Struthio camelus: one gene and its partners. The protein of the gene in region 3 interacts with the protein of the main gene of each other region in a pairwise test. Links are inferred from orthologs where the notes say so. Each region holds a gene or a part of one and is shown on either strand. Other genes may lie near its edges.

What was found.
Region 1: the proteins of WWP1 (region 3) and ATN1 interact in a two-hybrid assay, tested with the Homo sapiens proteins (2 studies listed by BioGRID and IntAct). The link is inferred for Struthio camelus from reciprocal best matches to the Homo sapiens genes WWP1 and ATN1.
Region 2: the proteins of WWP1 (region 3) and SMAD3 interact in binary tests that used the Homo sapiens proteins (3 or more experiments, as listed by UniProt). The two-hybrid records come from large-scale screens. The link is inferred for Struthio camelus from reciprocal best matches to the Homo sapiens genes WWP1 and SMAD3.

The regions. Positions count from the first base shown.
Region 1 is NC_090942.1:90,570,773-90,578,942, forward strand, and holds the start of ATN1 (atrophin-1), read right to left. Parts: upstream 3,128-8,170; 5' UTR 3,059-3,127; intron 1-3,058. Other genes in the region: ENO2 (gamma-enolase), read right to left, coding at 6,616-6,685, 7,026-7,084, 7,235-7,343, 7,556-7,757, 7,886-8,083. UniProt on the Homo sapiens protein: Transcriptional corepressor. Recruits NR2E1 to repress transcription. Promotes vascular smooth cell (VSMC) migration and orientation. Corepressor of MTG8 transcriptional repression.
Region 2 is NC_090953.1:2,691,928-2,699,610, reverse strand, and holds the start of SMAD3 (mothers against decapentaplegic homolog 3), read left to right. Parts: upstream 1-4,556; 5' UTR 4,557-4,854; coding exon 4,855-5,060; intron 5,061-7,683. UniProt on the Homo sapiens protein: Receptor-regulated SMAD (R-SMAD) that is an intracellular signal transducer and transcriptional modulator activated by TGF-beta (transforming growth factor) and activin type 1 receptor kinases.
Region 3 is NC_090943.1:152,425,444-152,432,842, forward strand, and holds the start of WWP1 (NEDD4-like E3 ubiquitin-protein ligase WWP1), read right to left. Parts: upstream 3,271-7,399; 5' UTR 3,067-3,270; intron 1-3,066. UniProt on the Homo sapiens protein: E3 ubiquitin-protein ligase which accepts ubiquitin from an E2 ubiquitin-conjugating enzyme in the form of a thioester and then directly transfers the ubiquitin to targeted substrates.

The sequences.
Region 1 (8,170 bases), on a different chromosome or scaffold from region 3:
ATTAGCTATATTTTTTTCAGGCTGGATAAATGACTCGGGGAGTCTGTGAGTCAGCTAGGAGGCTCAGCTCATACATATCAGGAATGCTCAGGTAGAGTTGATCCTCCCCCCTGGAGCAGAAGGATGGGCCACACAATCCCTTAGGATCTCTCCAGCTGTATTATTCTCTGATTCTACTACACAATAAACATTAACTTGAGAAACAAGAGGCCTCCGCTGTGATATATCCTTTTAACATAAATACAGTACAAGAGAGATACTGATAAACTGGACAGAGTACAGCAGAGGGCCAGTAAGACAGCGGTGGAGGGGTTCTAATTGCTGTTTTCAGCTATTTATTTGGGATTTATAGAGAAGTCAGGGCAAAGCTCTTCTCAGAGGTGCACACTGAAAGGTTACAAAACTTGCAAGAAGGGAAATTCTGACTAGATAAAGGAAAAACCTCCTCCCTGAGGCTGGTTCAACATTGGCAGAGGTGCCTCTCTACCACAGAGAGGCTGGGGAATCTCCACCATTGGGGATGTTCAGGACTAGCTTGGACAAGGCCCTCAGCAACTGATCTAGCTCAGGAGTTAAGCCAGCTCCAAGCAGGGGTTTGGAGTGGAGGCCTCAGGAAGTCCCTTCTCATATAAATCTTTCTATGATGCTGTGATTCTAGAAAGGTAGAGTCCTGCTTTCCTTTTCAACAGTATAGACACACAACACACAGTAGCTGCCTTAATGAAAAGAATAATCAAGCAAGCCATCTAGTCTGTGCTTGGACCTAAGGAAAGACTTTCTCTGAACCCAAACCAAACCAGAACCACACAGAATGGTTCCTCCTAGCTTAATCTCTCAAACCCACCCAAACAATACCTGCAGCCTGGCATTTGTTGGTAAAGGAGACTGAACCACTGAGAAGGCTATAAACCACACCTCCCAGTTTCACCATTCTCTCAGCAAGGGCTGCCCCACGGCTGAGATAGCTGAAGAATCACAAATGAAGCACCCACCTCAGTTTACCATTTAATTGATTTAATCGGGCCTGGGCTACAACTCAAGGAGTTGTTAATGTGAGGTTCATCAATGTGCTATTCTGGTATCCTCCGGAAGTGAGGAGGAGCAGAGATGAGGGAGGCAACCTTTCCTATTACCCCACTTTAGCTCTCCACTAGATGTGCCAGTCTGTCATAGCCACGCAACTGATTTCTCAGGCACAGCAGGATATGCACTGTGCTAGCAGGGACACCCACGATGGATGCAGTTATACCAAAACTATGGCATCGGTGTCGCTTACAGAGGGTGTTTTATCTCCCCCTATACATGGCATAGCTCTTTGCGCTCTCAGACATGCAACGCTCTGGTAAGCTGATCTTTGCCCACAGACTGAGCCTCATGTCCACCTGACAACCTGTCTGTATTTAGTCTTCCAGCAACAAAACCATACGCTTCCCTTCATGAAGGTTGCTCAGCACGTCATAGGAATTACCCAGGACCCAAAATGGTGCACCTCTTGTTAGGTGTTCAGTAGAGGAATGTCTCTGACAGCCTCATAGGTTACAGATGTTGCTTTCCCAAGGATAAGTACAATCCCATCACTCCTGAGAGAGACAAAAAGATCCTTGAAGAAATCAGCAACTCTTTATCATTAAGGCTTCACTGTGTTCTCAACAACAAGCCTAATTCCCAAACAGCTCCCCTTCCAGCTCCTTCACGGGCACAGGCACACGCACCTATTTACAAACAAAAGAACAATTCTGCAGGCTTCGGCAGGGGCTAGTGTTAAATTTTTCCTTTGACAGCTAGCCATTGCTCGGAAAATATCTTCTAAACAGAATTGCATTTGAGAATTTAAACAAAACCAATGTCAAAGACGCTTCGCTTTTAGCAGATATTGTCACATCTCCACCTTATCACTGACTGTGTTGTCCCTCACACTCTGACTGAAAGCACGTTATAACACTGCAGTCTCATAGAGACATCAGCTTATACAACAGGAGTCCTCAGGCGCAGGCATAACAAGGTATTTGGATATTGCTATTACATGGAAACTATAACCTAATCTCTTTCATTGAGGCAAAGAGAGAGACACAAGTGATAGATTTTACCATGCGTTGGCCAAAAACAAATATTTGTAGTGACTCAAGTAAGCATACCAGAGTCGCATATTGCGTCTATGCATCGTGCTATCAATGATGAACTCTTCTGATTTAGAAAAGACACTAAGGTAAGGCACTGCTGTGATGCAATTCATCCTCATCACTTTGGTGCTTTCCAGCATCTTCTCTTACACTGCGATGTGACAACACCTCACTGGCAATAACTCTTCGAAAGAAATTCTTCCCACAATGTAGGCACATATATACTGGTTCCCTACTGTTACAGCCTTGCTGCATTTGAGTGGGTAACGCAGCCTACCTTGTGTTCTGTTTAATTTCCTTCTTTGCACAAAAGAAAAAAAAAAAGACAAATAAAAGAGAGCTGGCGGGAAAAAATGCTCTTGGGAATTGGAAAACTAAGAAACTTTATTTCCAGAAAAGTGTCCTGATCGCTAAGCAACAACCACATTGTTTGCAGAATTCCAGCATTTAAAAGGAAGGAAAACAGTAGTTAGGTATACAAATGGAAAAATGACGTTATCTGTATCTTATGCACATATGCACAGTATAGTTTCCTTCACAAAACAAAGTTTTTAATATAATTTTATTATATATATTTATTTCATATAATGTTATGTAATTTTGCAAACATAACCATGGCAAAACGTTCCACGACTACCAAGTTCAACCCTGCCATCCCCAAAACACACCGCATGCCTTTGCCAGCAGGCACCAGCTGAGCTCTTCCCTGCCACCGTGCCCTCCCCGCCACCGTGCCTTCCCCCGGCTTTTGAGGCGGCCGAGAGCCGGGGCGCGCAGCCGGGGACGCGGAGGCGGGAGCGCAGCGCCGGGCCGCGGGCTCGGGGCGCGCAGCCCCCCGGGGCCTCTCTCGCTGCCGCCCGCTTCGTGCTGGGACACGGGTGCCCTCTAACGGGGAGTCCCCAGTGAAACAGCTCCCGTGACACTCCGACCCTTCCTACCTGCTGGAGGGATCGCATTTTGAGGAAAGCGGAGGGCTCCGGCACAGGAAAATGGAGCTTTTTTCCCACGGAAATGCCTGAACTACAGCTCCCAGAAGGCAGCTGCGGCCCTGCCCGTCCCCAAGCCGTGCCTGGCCCCCAGGCCCAGGGCACCGCCGGGGCCCGCGGCGGGGGCAGCCAGCAGGGTGCGGGTGCCTGGGAGCAGCTGGCTGGGGCTTCTGGTGGGGTGCAGCTGGTGGGGGTCAGCTGGCTGCAGTATGTGGCATGGGGTAGCTGCCTAGGGCAGCTGGCTCCATGGCCTAGGTGGGTAGAAGAGGAGCTCAGAGCCAACTTTATGAGCAGCGCTCGCTAGTGGAGCTCCGTGGATGTGCCATGTCATACATTTCTTAATCTCAGGGCCCTCAGACTGTTTCTGGTGTTGTTGGTACTCTCACCAGAAGTCTGGTGTCCCACCATAACTTGGCCAGCTACAGAATTTTTCTCCTTGGTTTCTTATCTCCAGGGACTACATGGTATTGCCCATAAGTGGGTTCCATGCTCCATTCAGCACCTTTGTGTTCCTGGATTAAACGTCTGTGAATCTGAGGTGTGGAAGTGGGACACAGTGGCGGGACTTCACTTTTAGCTGCAATCTTTAAGTATGGGATAGGTTTCACCCTGCAGCTATGCTGCTTCTCCAAGAGACTGAAGAGGAGACTTCATGGCGATTATGGGCAAGAGATGGCCTTTAGTTAGGACATAAGCTATTAATTGTTATCAAGATTTGTTCCATATTAATTAACGATCCCTTTGGAACCATTCCTGTTTCTACCCTTACATTTCTCTTCCCATCCTCTTTCCTTTTCTGGGCATGTGTATCATGTCCTTTGTCTTCCCTTCTTGAACTTATTCCATCTCATATATTATTCACTAAAGAGTCAGAAGTGAAATGCCAATGTTGATTTTTAAAGCATTTTCTTTCAGTTTTAAGGTCAACATCAGTGCACAGTTAAGAGGGCTTGGGCCTTGCTGATATACCTCCGTCTTCTGACTGACTCCTCCCCTAGGGAGAAATAACCCCATGCACCAGTACAAACTGGGGGCTGACCTGCTGGAAAGCAGCTCCTCAGAGAAGGGAGCTGGGAGTCCTGGTGGACAACAAGTCGACCATGAGCCAGCAATGTGCCCTGGTAGCCAGGAGAGCCAATGGTATGCTGGGCTGCATTAGGCAGAGCGTCGCCAGCCAGGTGGAGGGAGGTGCTCCTCCCCCTCTACTCAGCCCTGGGGAGGCCTCGCCTGGAGTACTGTGTCCAGTTCTGGGCTGCCCAGTACAAGAGAGACATGGCACTACTGGAGAGAGTCCAGCGGAGGGCTACCAAGATGATTAGAGGACTGGAGCATCTCTCCTATGAGGAAAGGCTGAGAGAGCTGGGCCTGTTCAGGCTGGAGAAGAGAAGACTGAGCGGCGAGCTCATCAGTGTGTACAAGTATCTGAAAGGGGGGTGTCAAGAGGATGAGGCCAGACTCTTCTCAGTGGTGCCCAGCGACAGGACAAGAGGCAACGGGCACAAACTGAAACGCAGGAAGTTCCATCTGAACATGTGGAAAAACTTCTTTCTGTGAGGGTGACAGAGCACTGGAACAGGTTGCCCAGAGAGGTTGTTTGAATATCTCCTTCGCTGGAGATATTCAAAAGCTGTCTGGACATGATCCTGTGCAATGTGCTCTAGATGACCCTGCTTGAGCAGGGAGGTTGGACTAGATGATCTCCAGAGGTCCCTTCCGACCTAAACCATTCTGTGCTTCTGTGCTTTTCTCTTTTGCTTGCTCATCCTGAGAGACAAGGTAGTGTGGCTTAGGTGAGGGTCTGGAAGCTTGTTTTGCTGTAACGGAGCAGGAGGTTTGCAGGACCTCAGTGTGCCCGTGTACATGGATGGGCTACTGGCATGAGTAGATGGGGCAGACAAAGTGTTTTCATCATTTTTTATCCATCATACCTTGAGTTGGATTTCTCAAAGTAGCACTTCCCCTCCTTTGCACCTTCATTGGAGTCTGTTCAGAATAATTCTGTTTAAGACGCAGTGAGGTTTACTTCCACTTGGCCTTCTGCAAAACCAGCTGGAGCACAGGATATTTTTCCCAAGTACTGCTGTATTGTCCCCTGTGATCTAAGATGGTATTGAAGGAGGCTGACATCCCATTTACCCCTCCGTTCACTGGTCTACATGCCCTCTCTTTTGCAGGGAGCAGCTTTTTCTCTTACAAATACTTGCAGTTCTAGTACTTAAAAATACTTGACTAGATGTCAAGTGGGCAGCTGTCTGTGGCCTATTCTGAGGTCTGTTACATCAGTGGAGAGCATCATTAAAATCCTTTGCACAACATCCCTGGCATCCCTTCATGCAATGTGATGTAGTGGAGAAGGGTGGGAGGGAATTTACACCTTCCCACTTGCCCTCCTCTCAATATTCCCCAGCTCTTTGTTCTGGAATCGGGCAGTTGACAGACCATTCTAGCTATGTGGCAGGGCTGTGAAAGGAGATGGGGATACCTGGGCCTTCTCTTTCACTTGCCAGTCCCTCTGCTTGTTTTGGCTACCTTTGTATTTGATCTTCTGCTTTGCTTGCAAGATGTCCCCATTTCCCAGACAGCAGTTGTGTAGATAAAAACATTAGGCCAAGCCAGGCAACTCAGGTGTGAAATACATTTTAATTGAGTTTAGGGTTCTGTAGTTTGTCTGTTGCTCAGCTGAGCATGGGTTGTCCAGAAGGTGACGCAGACGTTATGGGTGGAGGACAGGGTGAAGGAGAGCAAGAGAGAAGGAAACAGAGAGAAAAAGGTCAAGAGAAGCAAATGAGAGCATGTGTTTGTTTACGACTGTGTCTTAATATACTCCCCACGCTACTATGCACTGACCCACGATACCCCACAGAGCCGCTTAACCCAGAGACTGACAGCACACATACACCGAGTGACAGAAAGCAGTGCAGTTCAATACTAAGCTGCTGACAAGCACAGCTCAATACAACACAACACGCAGAGTGGAATGAAGAGACGCTTGGGTCCCACGATGGCTCAGCGCAAACGTGCCTGGGGCAAAATGACACTGTAGGCCAGTACACACACGCCTATACACATGCACGAGAGCCGCTGGCAACACTCGTCCAAACACAGCTACGGATGCAACACTTGTCCAAACACACCAGCCGACACGCTTATGTTCACCGCACATGTTTCGGCGTACAACGTAAACACACCAGGCGGCAGGCCCCCATAGTCTAATATGTGAACAAAGTGACTCAGACATGGTCCCTGCACAAAAACAGAAGACACAAAATGCCTAGATTCAGAAATGCTCATGATCCCAAAGCAAGGGAGAGAGGGTAGGCCTCACTTTCATCCTTCACCTGGATACACCTAGCCAGACAGACCTGAACTCATGGGGATTTGAGGTGAGAGTGGCAGGCGGCAGAGGAGAGAGAAAGAGAGAGCAAAAAGGGGAGCAGTGGAGAGAAGAGGGCTTCAGAGACTGTGACCTGGGAAAGAGCAGCAGAGTGGCAGTGCCCTCGGAACAATGTTCAAAGAACACTTGGATTGCGAAAGTTATGTCCAGCAAAGCGTGCTTCATCACCAAGCTCTTCCTCAATCCTGCAGAAGAGAGAGACAGCAAACATTAGACCCTTGCTGTGAGGGAGCATCAGAGGCGCTAGAGCACCTGAGATGCAGAGCATCAGCCACAAATCTGAAATGGAATAGAGGAGCTCTGCTCCTCCCAGCTGCTATGCATGAGGCTGCTGCACCGTTATGCCAAGGAGTAGGGAAGGGGTCTGCTCCAGAGATGTCCCCAGGATCCTATTCTTGGTCTGAGCCCTGTTTTCATAATATTTTCCCCACAAACCCCTTCTACCCTTGGGCTCTCAACTTCTCCCACCCCCGTTAGTTGCTTCTCCATTCTTTCTTATGTGTTCCCAACCTTGGAGCCCCTTACCTCATGAGCTGGTTGTATTTCGCCAGGCGTTCAGACCTGCAGGGAGCGCCCGTCTTTATCTGTAAAGTATTCCACACAACGAACACTGTAAGACACTGTGATGACTTGCACCAGTTTCCCCATAGGGGATAGGAGGCGGGGGGGGTCTGTCTTCACAACCTTCTTATTGTCCTCCACAAAATGTTATCTATAGCCTGTGTTTCACCTACCTGCCCAGTGCACAGTCCCACAACCAGATCAGCAATGAAGGTGTCTTCAGTCTCCCCTGATCGGTGGCTCACCATCACACCCCAACCATTCTCCTGGGCCAACTTACATCTGCAAGGAGCAAGAAATGCCATCAGTAGCTCCTTCTGTAGCCACCACCTGCACAGGGTGAGATCCAGGCATCCTCTCCTCCCACCCTCAGCATCCTACACTCTTGTGGACACAAAGGTGATTTTGTCCAATGGATCGTGCTAGACCCTGATGTGGTTCCACACCAACCCTTTCCCTCTCTTAGGACAGCAGAGACAGCAGGATGGACTCACGCTTGAATAGCCTCTGTGACAGATCCAATCTGGTTGACTTTGAGCAGGAGGCAGTTGCAGGCCTTCTCTTCCACAGCTCGCTCAATGCGCTTGGGATTTGTCACTGTCAAGTCATCTCCCACTATCTGAATCCCCACATTGGCTGTGAACTTGGACCAAGCCTCCCAGTCATCTTGGTCAAAGGGATCCTCAATGGAGACCACTGAAGGGACAACAGAAGAAGCCTGAGTCAAAGCTGCTTCCTTCCCCACCCCCAAAACACAGACAGGATGTGTCTGTTATGTTTGCAACACCAGTGCTGATTCCCCACTGCCAAGCACAGCAGCTCACCTGGATAATCACGTACAAAGCTTTGGTAGAGGTCACCCAGCTCATCTGCAGAAATGTAGCGGCTTGGGTCATCTGGGGACTTGAAGTCCAAGTCATATTTGCCATCACGGTAGAACTCAGAGGCTGCCACATCCATGCCGATGACGATCTTGTCTGTGTAGCCAGCCTTGTCAATAGCTTCCTTGAGGAGTTCCAGAGCTGGGAGGAGGAGAGTTGCGTCAGGAGAGTCAGTCCATGCAAAGAACTCTGACTTTCACTGGGGACTCAGCCAGTATCACAGATGCT
Region 2 (7,683 bases), on a different chromosome or scaffold from region 3:
AGAGTATATTAGAAGAAGGATTGCTCTAAACTCTTTTTCCTAAAAGTAAGAGGTACCAGCCATAGTCAAAGGCAGGACGCTGGTTTAAACAGACCTTCGGTCGGAGACAGCAGTGTGATTCTTATCCTGCTGAGCTTCTTGGAACATGCAAGTGAATGAACTTGTATGTATTAAGTCTTAAGAATTTTCAGCAAAGTATCTTTTTATTGGATATGTGTATGCTTTCTCATATGTAGAGAAGAATAACCACTGTAACCTGAAAGGAATTGCCTGAGCTGTGTGTTTCACAGCATTGAAGTTAACTCTGAAGGCATTAACTTAGAATGACCTTGCTTTTTTTTGTGACTCACCCCAAAGGTTATTTTCCTGCAGGTTTGTTCTGAGTGATAAAGATAGGTTTGCTTGCAATAAGTGCTGTTCCACATATATATATATTAACTTAAGCAAGGAAAGCTCCCACACCTTCCCTTGTTTATGCATATTATATGTGATATAGATTGAAAGTTAAATGTCACAGCCCTTATTTACAAGTTAACATGTGAAAATAACCTACTTTTAAACTTTCTCCTCATTTTCTCAGCTGCCTATCTTACTCTTCATTACAGCTGCTACTTACATGATACGGAACAAAAGGAGATGAGGAGGTTATGGCCCTCTTAGCTGCTCTGGTAAATCCCTATCTGTTGCAAATTTTACAGGTTGTCCACCTGCTTCTCAGTTGTCCTCTTCAGTCACACAGTAAAATTCCCTTCCACAAGTAGATAATGCCCATATAGGAAATTATACTTAATATTTCAGTAGCTGAGTAAAAGAGAGATGGCAGTACATTAAAAGCTGGTTCACAACCACTCCCTGATTTTCAAACTAGCCACAATTACATGTTAAAACAGCCCGGGAGCTGTTTCAGCAGGCAACAGGCTCCCCGAAGAACCGTCTCTGAGCATAGCCAGAATACAGTTTGTTCTGGTCACGCTTCCTCCAGCCTGCCTGTTCCAACATGCCCCTGCAAAAGAGGTTTCAGGGAGAGCAGCGTGCGAGCTAGTGGAACTGCCTCGTGCCTGCTTCAAACTCCCTTATTCTCTTCTCACTCCTCGAGTGGTATAAAGTGAATGTGGAGTGAAGCACAGAACCTATCCTTCAATCTCAGAAGCTGTTAAGAGTATTTCTAATAAAGGTAGATACGCGTGTGTGAGAGCCCCAGAGGACACCTTCTTGCTTCTTATGCTCATTTTATATCGTTTCTGAATCAAAACCCAATTTTTGTCGTCTTGAAAGTAAAGTTTAAATTCTGTTCCCATTCACTGATGGGTCCTGTGAATGAACAAGGTATATAAAGATTATTTTTCAATCACTGTCAAGATGTTCACGTAGTAGTAAAAGGTTAAGAAATGCAAGAGAGCCACAAAGCATACGGTTGTTTTCTTCAAGTAATCTCAAATAGATGAACTATGGAGGGCTTGTGTTTTTGCAGATTATACATCTTTACTTTTCAGTACGAGCAAAATGCAATGAGTGAAGTCCCTAAACCTGTACTATGTAACAAACATGCAAAGATAATGATTGTTGCAAAGTAAAGAAAAATTTATATCACTAATGAACACATAACCTTATCCTGCCTAGAGGTGGCTTCCAAGACATCAGACATTTTGTAAACCAGAGAACGGATCCAGACCATGTAAAATTGGGACGGTCCTGTCTTTTTCCTGTCTGTTAATTTTTCCATTATGAGAGTGTCCAAAACTCTCTGAAATAAAGGATTACTGTCTATGGGTTCAGAAAGGCATATTTTCACAGAATGGTTCATTCTGACAGGTAACCCCAGCAGCAGTCATACAAATTGTTCTGTAAATTGTAATGACCTTGAGCTTGGAAATTAATTCTACGTCTTGAGACCAAATGTTTATTCATTTTCAGTTCTAGTGTTCTCAGTGGTGCTGCGGCCCAGAAGGCAGATGGGTGATTTAGCTGGCCTCCTCCTTACTTGTGATACTGTAAGCAAGTGAGACCCATTTTGTTTTAGCATTTGGCTAAACAGGTAAATCTATTTACCCCTTTGCCACTAACTCGCTATATAAGCGCGAGCAAATCTCGCAGCTCTTCCTCCTCTTCCCCTTATTCAAATTTACCCAGCTGATCACCTGTGATATGACTATAGTAATGGAGTGAATTTTAGCCAATGAATGTGTACAGAAAATCCTGGAAGCCTTGCTGAACTAAGATTACAGCATGAATTCTGAGTTTAGAGGTGAGATTTGAGTACTTTCATTTTTCTGGCTGAAAAACAGTATGGAACAGTCCCCATGCTTTTCTAGCATGAACAGTGACAAAGAAATGGATATGGTCCCCAACAGAAATCCGCACTGTTATTACCCTGATGCAGTGTTGACAGCTCTAAGACTGTTTCTTCACGCATAGTCTTGCCCTGGGGCTTCTTTATGTTGCAAAATGTGCTGGGCCAAGAACCAGGAAAATAGAAAAAGATGACTTTAAACTTCCCCACACTTAAAATTATAGTTGTATTTATTTATATACAAAAAAAATGTATTTAACTTCTGTGTTTCACTTTGTTCACATACTCAGGTTATTCTCCAAATATTGTTATTCTCCAAACCATTTGCTATCAGGAACCAGGCCCTTCCAGAAAACAAATATGCAGCAAGTCAATGACACTAAGTAGCAATCAGTAATTTGGGCATTTTGGTTTTAGCATAATTAGTTGCTGAGAATTTTTGTGTTGGTTTTAGAGGTGCTGAGCAACTGTTTCCTCAAATGAAATTGGGATCATCTACAGGGGCTCAGCATCACTGTACTTCAGGCATCTCAATTTAGGCAGCCAAAAACTGGGTCAGGGCAGCGTTCCAAAATTTTAGTGGTGAGCCTCCAAAATTCAAGACACTCGGGGAATGCATGTTGGGGAATAGTAAGAAAATGTTTTAAAAAGAGGGGGGGGGGGGGGAAAGGTTATTTTATTTTGTGCCCAATATTGCTACTTCAAATTTTGGTGTTGTCAGTATGGAATAAAAAGTACTATTTGTTTAAATCGCTGCAAAAGCCAAGCCAGTTGCCTCTGAGCTTCAGACACTGTCTGAACCTATAGGTTCATAACTTGCCGCAAGGCGATTTGTACGGCTGGCTGTTTCAAATCCACAGGCATGGAAAAGCGTTTGGATCGCCGGCTTTCGAGGAGTCTCCCCACTGGGCCGCGCTGGAACTGGGAGCAGGGGAATGCGGATTGGCAAGAACCTGCACGTCTGGGAGCGGGTGAGCAGCCCCGGAGGCTTCCCAACCTCAGGTTCACCGTCAGCTCGTCTGGGAGGCTGCGGAGGCTCGAGGAAGCTGGGAAGCCTGCCTCAGCTTCAAATGTCAAAACTTGGGAGCTGGGGCCTCCCAAAACTTTTTACTCTCTGATTCCCGGACGGCTGTGAAGCAGCTGGGGCTGAGGCGCCTAAAGGAAGGAGGCAGCGGTGACTCTGCAGGTGGCCTCCGAGCCCCTTGCTCCTCGCCGGGCTGCCCGTGCACCCTGCTCACGCCGCGCCAGGGTGGTATATCCAAGGGTTGGAGCGCTTTAGGAACTATGGTTGGTATTTTTATGGTCTTTAGGGCCTTTCGGCGTGAAGGGGAGGATGGTAGAGGTGGGGCAGCGTGAAAGCCCACTTTGTCCAGCGATGACAAGCGAGGAACTGGAAAGTTACCTGGATCCCGTCCTGCCTTAGTCAAGGCTGAACCATCTCTACAAAACAGGGCCATCTGAACAAGCTGCCATTCTCTGACAAAAATGTTCCGTCTGAGACTTTCTGACCAGGGCTGGTAGTAAACAGCTCCGGAGCGTAATTTGTGCCTGATACAGGGCAAAAATTAATCGGGTACCGGGCCCTCGAGGTGGGAGGATGAGGGAATGGAACAGTAAATTAAATAGGTTGAAACAAAAAAACTGCAGATCGTCGTCTCCGCCTGGCTGCTTTGACCAAGCGAGGATCAGCCATCTCCATGTGAAAACACACCTTTTTTCACAGAGAAAAACAGCCGTCGGGGTCCGCCGGGGGCCTTACCCATCCCCGCCGGCCCGAGGGCACTCTGTCCCTTCCCCTGGCCCGGCAGCGCTTTGTCACTCGTGTTTGTTCGTCCCTCCCGCGTGGGGGGAGACGAGGGTCAGGGTTAGGGGGCCGGGTGCGGGGAGGGGAAGCGGCCGCCGCGGGCTGAGGGGAGGCGGCGGCCCTGACGGGAGCTTCCCGCCTCGCCGGGCGCGGGAAGGCCGCGAGCGCGCAGCCGCTGAGGGGGGCGCCGGCGCTGAGGGGGCAGAGCTTCCCCCCCCCCCCCGCGCCTCCGCCCTTCCCGCGCGGGAAGAAAGAGAAGGAAAAGAAGGAAAAGAAAGAGGAGCGCGGCGGCGGGCGCCCCCGGCAGCGCGTGCGGCGCTGCGGCTGCCGCCGGGGGGGGCGGCGGCGGCGGCGGGGAGGGAGAGCGGGAGCGGAGTTGCCGGCCGCCCGCCCGCCCTCCGCCGGCGGCGTGAGGGAGCGTGTTTGGGAGGGAAGGAGGGGGTGGAAGCCGGGCTGGGGCGGCCAGCAGGCAATTTGCATGAAAGGCAGACTGGGAATGAGCTGGAGCGGGCGCCTCCGCGCGCACGCAGAGCGGGGCAGCAGGGGGAGGAGGGAGCCGCCGCCGCCGCCGCCGGGGAAACGCGGCGAACTCCGGGCAAAGTTTGGTGCCGAGGGCCCGAGGCGCTGAGGCAGCGCCGCGCCGCGCCGGGCCGGGCCGGGCCAGGCCTCGTGGTGCCCGCGGGGCGGCGCGGAGCCGCCGGGTTTCGTGTGGAGGCAGCGGCCGGGCCGGGTCGGGTCGGGCCGGGCCGGGCAAGCCAGCATGTCCTCCATCCTGCCGTTCACCCCTCCCATCGTCAAGCGGTTGCTGGGCTGGAAGAAAGGGGAGCAGAACGGGCAGGAGGAGAAATGGTGCGAGAAGGCGGTGAAGAGCCTGGTGAAGAAGCTGAAGAAGACGGGGCAGCTGGACGAGCTGGAGAAGGCGATCACCACGCAGAACATCAACACCAAGTGCATCACCATCCCCAGGTCGGTGGCGGCGGCGGCGGCCCCGGGGCGCGGCCCGGCGGCGGCTCGGGGGCCGTTGGGGAGCGGCTGCCCCCGGCAGGGGAGAAAATGTCTCCAGCCGAGTCTGGAAGAGGGGAAGTGGGGGGAGGAGGGAAAAAAAACCCCAAACCCCAAAGTTGGCAGCGCTCTGGGCTGCCCTCGCGCGTACCCTGGGTGCTCTCGTGGTCAAAAGTTGCAGCGTGTTCTGCGGCAGCGCTGCGCCGAGTTTTGCCTCTGTGTGTGTGTGTGTGTTTGCGCGTGTGTTTTGGTTTTGGTCAGGAAAATGGTTTTATTTGGGTTGCTCGCCTTATTCCTGCGAGCTGGCCAGCTACTGCGCTGCAGATGTGATTTAGAGCCCTGCTGCGCGTTTGTTTTCACATTGCTTTTTAAATCGCGAGAGCAAATGGCATAGCTGAAGGGGATTACTTGCACTGCAAAAAAAAAAAATTATGTAAGGATGGATGTAACAAGTTGATTTTTTTTTTTAATTTTTGTTTTAACATAGATTTTTATTTTTAGCCTTGATCCCGAAATCAATCCATAATATGCATCCTTCCTTATGATATACATAGCATCTAAGAAAAAATGTTCAAGTAACTTTCAAATAGCTGGCCCCAAGCAGTGCTTTTTTTTGCTGCAGGTCTGTCGATTTCTGTGAGCTGAGCCAGATGACTGCTGAGTCTGTTACTTGTCGTTGTTTTGGGGGGGGGGGTGTTTTTAACAAAGGCCAAAGTTCAGCCCAAATATTTGAATCCTGCATAATTGTATGCTTCTGTGTGAGAAGATATCTCTGTGAGTATGTGTATTCATGCCTCTCTCTCGCCCAAACAAATGTATGCTTTCTTGGTTGTCAGAATGATTTAATATGCAGTAGCTAATACAAAGCAGCATCTGTTGCATGAAAAAGTGAAGCAAGTAGCTCAGAAACGTGGATATTTGGAACTCCTAACATTTTTTCCAGCAACTAGAGTTTTAAAGAAAAAGTAAAGCCTCCTCATCTTTTCGGTCCTGAGCGATCATGCCTAAGATTTCTGCCAGTAATCCGGATTGAGGACTCTGCCTTTGTTAGAGTTACTCTGGCTCCTCGTAGTTGAAGCAGAGATCAAAACCTACAAAGCTGCCACCTGGTACAAATGCCCTTAAACCTCTATTTTGAAATTCTTGGTAAGCAGGGTACTTTCCTCATAGAAAATGCCCTGTGTAAACCACTTCCCTGAAATATTTGCCTTTTCATAAGAAAAAATTTACTTGAGGAGTCCTACGGTTGAAGTGACTTGTATATTATTGTGCTTCAGGTTTCCGTGGAGAGTTGCTGATGCTGACCTGTTAGGAAGCAGAGTGTGAGGCTCCCCGACGTTTGCTTTACTAGGAACAAGGTGTTTTAGCTTAAGGAAGGCATTTGGAGCAAAAAGACGGGTGGAGTAGGAAGCTTTAATTTAGAGAAATAATTTTAAAGCTGGAAAATAAGTAACACCACAAGCAGATGTCACAAGTTATAAATATTATCACCTCCAGAGATTACTCTGGCTATTGTCTACTGTGCAGAAGAGAATGCTGGTTTCTCCCAAATTTTGCTCTGTTAAAGGGAAACAGTACAAAAACTAAAACATTTCATGTTCACTTATGACACAGAGTCTGATCCTTCAGGTCTTAATCCTTGGTACTGGGGACCAAGGATTCATATGCTCACTACTGTCAGCATGTTTTGACGGTAGTTCCTTGTGCCTTGGTACTAGTCTTTAAACATGACGCTTCCTATGCACTTTTACTGTTATTTTATATAGATATTGCAGAGATCCTTAAAACAGTAGTTAGGTTACCCTGTGCTGGACCGTCTGCAGCAGCATAGTATTAGGTTAATGTCTAGATATCTGAGATTGGGGAAGGGAGTGGAAATGTGAAACAGCTGGTCTTGAAGCCAATGGCAGAGCTGTAATTGTAACCAGGCCTTGTGACTTTTAAGTGCAATGTCTTCTCCACTGGACTGCGCTGTTTGTCCTAACGCTTCTGTGACTGATTATCATGTCACTTGAAATTAGTGTTTGCAAGACAATTTTAGTATGGCTTTGGTATTTTCTTTTAAAATAATTCTGCATGCGTTGCTGTGTTATTTAGGCAAATTTAAGTACATTGAGGGGACAAAAGGGAAAAACCATCGTTACGGATAAGATCGTGTTGTGCATTGTCTGTAATACATCAGTAGACTAAATTACAGTGGAGCTATGCCAGGGATGACTCTGGCCCAGCAGGAGCAGGGTTAGTACAAAATTAGCCGTTGTACCCATGAGATGAGGCAAGGTTTGAGATGTAAAAGTGCTTAAGCTTTTCAGAAATGTTGCCCTTGGGAATAAGGGCTTCACAGCAGATGAGCTGAAACTTCAAATTCCTCTAGTGACCAAGTAGGGTTAAGTGTGTTACTTTCCGAGTGCTCAGTTTGTAAGATGATGTGACCAACAGACGTTCAGGTCCCAGGTTTTCTGTTTGAAGAACCTATGGCAGCCAGCACGAGGCTGGAGAGACCTTGAAAAATTCCAGCATGATGCCCTAGTGTTGGCAAGAATTTTCTTTCTTGTTGATTCTGGTGGAGCGGGGAGTCGTTTCCACC
Region 3 (7,399 bases):
GATTCTGATTAATCTGATGCTGCTGTAGACACGAGATAAAAAAAAAAATCTCAGTTTTCAAACTTTCATCCTGGAAGACATACTGGAGCAGCTCATCCACTAACTTAGATTCTTATGTGATAGACGTAAAGCTAGAAATCCATTTTTTTAACTGAGGTGAACGTTACACTGCAGAAGCAGATGAGTACTAACCTAGCTTAAAGGATATTGTGTTACCAGTAACTTTCACCCCTCCTCTTCTGCCCTTTTGAGGAAGCAGAGTTTTTTTAAACCAAGTTAAAAGAAACTTCCATTCATTACTTAAGGAGGGCTTACAAGAGACATTTCTTAAAGTTCGCACTTGTCTATCCCTCCATCCATTCCCCCTCCAAGTCTTCTTGCTTCTTTATCTGGATTCTAGTCAAATAAACTCTAGAATGAGCTTCTGTTTCAGCAAAAAAGCTAACCACGACAGTTTGGCCTAATGGCATAAATAGTAACCATTTTTAACTAATAAGTATGGCCTAGTTCATGAATTTTTGATTAAAGTATCTGAGTTTTGAAATGCAGGGTTTTATTGGCATAGAAATTTGGGGAAAAAAATGAATAAACTGAACACAATACCAGCTTCCCATCACAGATGATGTTTTTTGGACACAGAATAGTAGAAGGGAAAGAAGAATCTCTTTCCCACACACACATTCTTTTCAAGAGTAAAAGCAGAAGAGTGACTGGGTAGAAATTCCAACTTATAATATGTGTATGGAAAAGAAAGAAGGACACAAAAAAAAAGAAAAAGCAACAGAATTGGCAGGCACTCCTCCATCTTCCAAGGGTTCCACAGAATCAGGAGAGGGGATTGGCTCTGAGGCCTGTGGGTCTTCCCACAATTTAAGAAGCGCTTGAAGACAGGTAGTTATTTTAACTTTATTGCCAACCCTTTAAAAAAAGGCACAAAGTTCACTTACAACCTTTTGTTCATTGATATTTAGCAACAAATGTAAATTAATTTCACCCAAAAAAATAGTTTATATCCTTTAGGTAACAAGGTGTCCCATGCTGACAGATCTCACCCTTGAGTATTTAAAACTGCTTGCATGATTTCAAGTAAAATTATGTATTTAAGGGAACTAATCTATAGTATCATTGGAAAAAGACTACTGATAGGAAGATCTACTAACAAGAAGCATTTACAGGATCAGATATTTAAACGAACACTTAAAACGGGGCCCAAAGAAGTAACAGAAGGATTCTGAAAACACAGATTGGTTTATAACCAACATTAGTTCAAAATATTTCTAGCTGTCCTATTTTAAAGCACCTTTGACAGCTTTCCAGATAAACTGCTTTTACAAGCTGTAAAATCCTTCTTAAAAGAATGAAAATCCCTAAGATTTTTTCTACGCAAATTTCTTAAATCTTCACTATTAAAAATCAATGAGAAATAATAATTCAGTTCATATGTCCATTTACACAGACTCAGATAAGACAGCACATAAAATTTTAAAAAAGCCCAAGTGACAAGTTGCCACAGATCATCACTAAGCAGTTTATTCCTATGTAACAAAGGGATTAAAGCAAAACATAAATTTTAAGCAGAGATTGTTATTATTACTATGAAGGCTATAAATATATATATATATATATATATATGCATGTATCTCATACATGTGAGGGACAGCCATATTTAACCCAACTGCCTGCATCCAGTGAGAGTATCATTTAGCAAGCCAGTGTTACTAAACTTGCATAACTTGAGTTTTTTAATGCAAAATATCCTGATGATTTTCTATTGGACGCAGGAACTATATGAAAATATAGCTGAAATATGAAGAGATCCTTTTTCAGAGTTTAATTCAAACATTGAAGGGCTCCATTAAAATTATTAGACAGGGTTAACTCCTTTTCTCTCTTTGACATACAGTTTAAACATTTATAGACCTGGAAGCAGAGTGAGATTACCACAGTTTAACTTGGAAGAGAACTGGTATTGTTCCAAAAATAAGACACATACTGAAAAATCAGGTAAATGAACACTTATGCTAAGTTGTAGGATCTTGTCATAATATAAACAAAGATCAATGACATGAATAAGTGTTTCAACATCTCAAATTCACACGGTCTTTTCAGCAAATCTTGCATTAAGAGAATCAGAGAGACTCGCAGACTTCAGCAGTAACAGTGATGACTTCCAACCCAGCCTGTGTCCCCTCCTGCCCCCTACACATCCTGTGAGGGATGATGATGATAGGCTGTGGGGTTACAGCAGCTCACTACAGAGGGGAGACTGCTCTTCACCTCCTCCCTCCGCTGTTTCACCAAAGAAAGGTGAACCCGAAACGCAACAATATCTTTCTCCTTTGCCTTCAGCTGGCACAGAATCAAGCAGGGTCGACCCCGCAACTGGTTCACTGCCTCCCAGATACTAACACCTCTCGCAACCCACTTGGCGTTGACACGGGTCAGGACTCAGCCCTCAGTCGCCCTCTCTCAAAAGGCCATAGACAGGAATAAACAAGGTTATTCGCCTGACATCGGATACCAGCCACACTCCCCGCTCCTTTCCCCCCCGCCCTGTACCTCCACAAGCCCACGAAAGTACCGACCCTGCTTCCCGGGCCAGGTGTGGGCCAAGAGGCCCTCCGCCCTGTCCAGACATGAGCCGGAGGGGAGGGGGGGGACACGGCAGTCCTCCCGCCACCAAACGGGGAGACTGAGGGAGGGAGGGGGAGAAGCAGCCGTCGCCACCCCCTCCTCCAGCCCCAGCAAGGCCCAGGGTGTGCGACGAGCTGAAGTGCCGGAAAGGAGAGAGAGACCAAGACCTCGCTACAGCTCCCTTCGCCATTTTAGCCCCCACGCCCATTCCCCTCCTCCCCGCCCCTCCGTGACAGGGGCAGCGGGTACCCGTCCAGAGCTCAACCCCCCACCCCCCGCCCTGGCCGCCCCCGCTCCCCCCCAGCCCCACCGCGGCCGCCGCAAAGAAGACAGAGAAAAACTGCAGCCGTTTTTCTCCTCAGGCCGGCCGGGCTCTGTCAGGCCAGATCGCAGAGCGAAACGGCTGCGGCGCAGCCTGTTTTGTTTCCTTACCGTGGTTCGCAGCTTCAGAGCTGCTGCCGCTGCCGCTGCCACCTCCTCCTTCTTCTTCTTCTCCTCCTCCTCCTCCTCGCCGCCGCGGCTCCTCACCCCTCCGCGCCACGCTCCGCCGCCGCCGCGCAGAGTGATGCCATCTCACAGCGGCATCGGCGGCTCGCGCACAACAACCCCCCTCCCGCCGCGGCTGCTCCCGCCGCCGCCGCGCGCCCCCAACGGCCGCGCCAGCCTCGTGCGCGCGCCCCGGGCAGCGGCAGCAGGAACTTGTGGAGCCGCCGCTGCCGCCCGGGCGAAAGGGCCCCGTCGGAACCAAGTCGTGCGCAGCGGCAGGCAGGCAGGGAGAAGGCGAGTCTAAAGCGAGGCCCTTCGGGAGGGAGAGGGCTTATTCCTAGCGCCTGCCCCGGGCTGAACCAACTTGGGTGCTGCGACGGGGAGAAGAGCCGAGCGAGCTGAATCAAGCCCTGCGTAAACAGGGGAGGAGCGGCCCCGGCCCCCAGCACCAGGGCCCCGTTCCCGGGGGAGAGCGTGCACGGGCAGGATAAGGGAGGCTTCTGTGAGTCACTGCCCCCCGAGAAAGCCGCTCTGCGCTGAGAGCCAGCACACCCCGGCGGCGAGTAAGTGATAAGGGAGGGCTGCCTGCTCCAGCCGCCTCCCTCCCGGGCTGCGCGCACAAGGAGGGCCGCCGCTACTGCTGCTGCTGCAGCCGCCCCCGGCCGTCACACCCTCCCCGCCCGGTCGGGAGCAACCAGGATCCGCCTGGTTGGTCTCTCTCCCTTTGCATAACTTCTACTTTTCCTATACTTAGGATAGAGGAGGAGGGGGGGAGGGAGGTCGGTTCCTCCCCGCCCTGAGGGGGGCTGGAGGGACCGGTGGAGCAGCAGCAGCAGCCCACGACGGCCGTTGGGCAGCTGGCAGGCGGGGCCGGCGCGCGGGGGCCGTTAGGGCCGTTAGGGCCCTGGGGAGGGGGAGGGGTGGTTACCTGCCGCCGCCGCGGCGCTGGCGAGGACTCCGCTAGAAAAGGCCCGGGCGGGCAGGCGGGCGCTCCCCGCAGGCTGGCAGCCGTGCGAAGGCGTGAGGCGCGTGTCTTAACGTCGGAGGCCGAGGAAGCTTTAGCTCCATACGGGACGGTATGTGGAGGCAGTGATAACGTGGACTTTCGGGTATGAGCAAAGCCTGGGAGCGGTAGCGTCGGAAAAGTCTAGCACCACCGTTAATTGGAAGGAAGAAAAGCAAACGCCAGGAGACCTTGCAGGAATTTCTAACAAAGTCTGGTATTTTGTTGCTTTTTAAGAGACGAATGCCCAACAGCCTCATCTGGGCATGTATGTTCCTTCACAATACATAAGCGAGTATCTTAAAAATAATACTTTCCAACCTATTCGTTCTTTATACAAAATCAATAGGAATACCACAAAGTCTAGGGGGTGGAAACAAAAGGTTGTGGTCTGTTCAATTTTAGGAAACATCTTAGACTAGACTTTTATAAAAGTCTAGTCTAGATCTTCTGTCAGAATTCATCATGGGCAGTAAGATTAGCTGTTTTCAGTTAACAGTGTGATTAATCCATTTGATATGAAGAATTCAAGAAATATAGTTTTCTCTACATCAGCTAAAACTTTTAAAGAAGATTACAATCCTACTTGTGTCCTGAGTTTGCCCCAAATTAACTACTGACTTAAATTAGGAAACCAATATTGCTACCCTTTGGTGACGCTTTGAGATTCAGCTAGTAATCTCCAACAATTTTTCCTTCCTGTTTTAATTTGTTGTAATGTAAAACAATCTAACAGAAATATGCAGAAAAACATCTGCACTTTAAGTAAGGACACTTCTTAATGGGGAAATAAGTTTATATTTAGGAACTTACCGTTGAATGCAACATTGCATTCCCAGCAGCCAATGGCAGGTGAAGGTGTAAACGGTAAATATGCAGCAGCTCCACTGTGGTTTACAGTAAAAAAAAAAAAAAAAAAAAAAAAGTTTGTAATGACACAGAGGATAGTGATTATTGCAAGTTTCTTAAGATGGATCAACTCTTTTCTCAGTCTTCTGTAATGTAAAGAAAGGCTGAAGAGAGGAGGAATTTGTTTTAATAGTATTCTGTGATTCTTGCTTTTTCTGATTCTGCTCTGCACATAAGCTGTTAATAGTTCTACTGAGGTTCTCCTCTTTCTAGGCTTTGTTTGTTGCTAATATAAGTAGCCTGATATGAATACTTGAAAAATATGAACATTATTATTTTTTGAGTAGATTATATATGTAAAATTGCTAGGTGCTTTTTTTTTTTTTTGCTGTACAAAACAATATTTTATGCAGAAGTTAGGCTTCTCTGGTTTGCCTCTTCCCTGTTTCAAAACAAGCTTTGTCATACATTTGTCTCACCCTGGGGTATAGTGACATCCTAAGTATTAGTCCCTCTTAAAAGACATTTGATACACTTATAAAAGCAAAATGTCCCAAATTTATTAATATCATAAGTTTACTTTTAAATATCTCATAAAACCTCAAGATTCTTTCATCTTTCAACTAGGTTTAGGGCAATAGGTAAAAAGTAGTAGTATATATGTAAGGATTGGAAACCATACATTGAAAACTAACTGAAAACATTTAAGTTATACTTTGTTAAGAATCTGAAAAAGTACAAACACAACTTTCTTCATTTTGCAGACAACCTTTGTTTCTTCTACTGCGCAGTGATCAGTAAAGACTACTGGTTCTGTTATACAGTGCTGAAGGCTAGGAGGAATGAACTTAAATTACTAGTTATCTCATTAAGCATGTAGACAACCATAGCCTGTTTCAGATGTGTTGTGTGAAACTCATGTTACAAGAAATATGTTTGTTTGTCTGTTTTTCTAGTTGCAGGTTCAGTTGAGGCAGTGCTTCAAAGCTTTACTGTTATTTAGGCGGCTGAAATCTACTGCTGACCTCAGATAAGGTCTCAGAAGTCACTACATATGTCAACCAAAGTTTGAACTTCACAGAAGTGGTTGCATGAGGTTTTACCTGAAATACAATATAAAAGCAGTTTCTGTATGCAGTATTCTTGAGGTAGTCATTTACAAGTTTACTGAATAGTTTTAAAAAAGTCTCCTAGGGTATCTTTCTGAGTTTTCTCCCCTGCCTTTTTCCCTGCAAAGTAAGGACAATTTTGGAGAACTCAGAATCAAAACTGAAATCTACAAAATATGCTGGAGTATGTAATACTTAGTATAAAACTTAGATATTTATAGATCTTTTTGTCTGGAGTGGTTGAACAATGTACATTTGGCAAGCATGAATTTCAGGATGGGGTTTTGGAAAAGGTAGGCTGTAGCAGACTGGTGTGTCTACTGGTTGGCGTTGTATCTTGCTTTTCAGAGAACATTGTTGTTCCTCCACACAGAGGATTAGTAGTGAGCGTTGCTAGCCTTTAACTAGAAGGCCAGTGACAATAGTTTTGTTCAAACTATACTTGTGGAGAAATCTTCTAGAACTTGATAGGGATGAAAGCTGTAAAATTCTAAATGAATGTCTTTACTAGCACATAAAATTAATATATAATAATATCCATTTAGGCTTCTGCTCTTTTTTAATTTCTTAGGCATCTTACCAAAGTCCTTTGTTAACCTATAATCTCCTGATAGTAGAGGATGAGGGTGAAACCAAATCTTTCTATCTTTAGTAGACTGAAATACAGGCTGATTTCACCTGAGCACAGGCATGCAGAACTCATCTTTTCATCTTTCTATATGTGTGGTTTGGGTGTTTGAACTGAGCAGAAGGTTATAATGAAGTCTTAAACGCGAATGGTTAAGTTAGTTCCTTGTGCAGCCCTATCTTCCAGCTGTGGAAAATCCAAAAAGCTCTATTTAATGAGAATAGAGGGAAGATTTCTCTGGCAATTGTTGATGTGTTTTATATGGAGACTTTATTTTACAAAACTCATACAGAATAAAAGAGAACCTTCAAATAAGTTTATTTGGACCATATCCAGAAAAGCACTTAAGCACCTGAAATGGGATTTAGATAGAACTTAAAGTTCTACCTTCAAGAGCACAAACCACAGAACCTTGTACCTGTAGTGGCCCAAGTCTTTCGATGGTTGTAGCTGGCATCTGTAAGCATGTACAGTAAGTAGTTAATGTCTTGGTTGCACCAAAAGAGCTGATGCTTGACTTATGCCTGTATTTGTTTAGGATCCAGAAAGTAGGTCAGGCATCATCTAAAATCCCTCGCGGACTGGATCTAGGAAGCATGGTTAGAGCATGCACACAAAGAATCTGAATTTAACCAAAAGATTCTATAGTTGTGATAAAGACAGAAGCAGAGGCAAACATGATAGCAATGA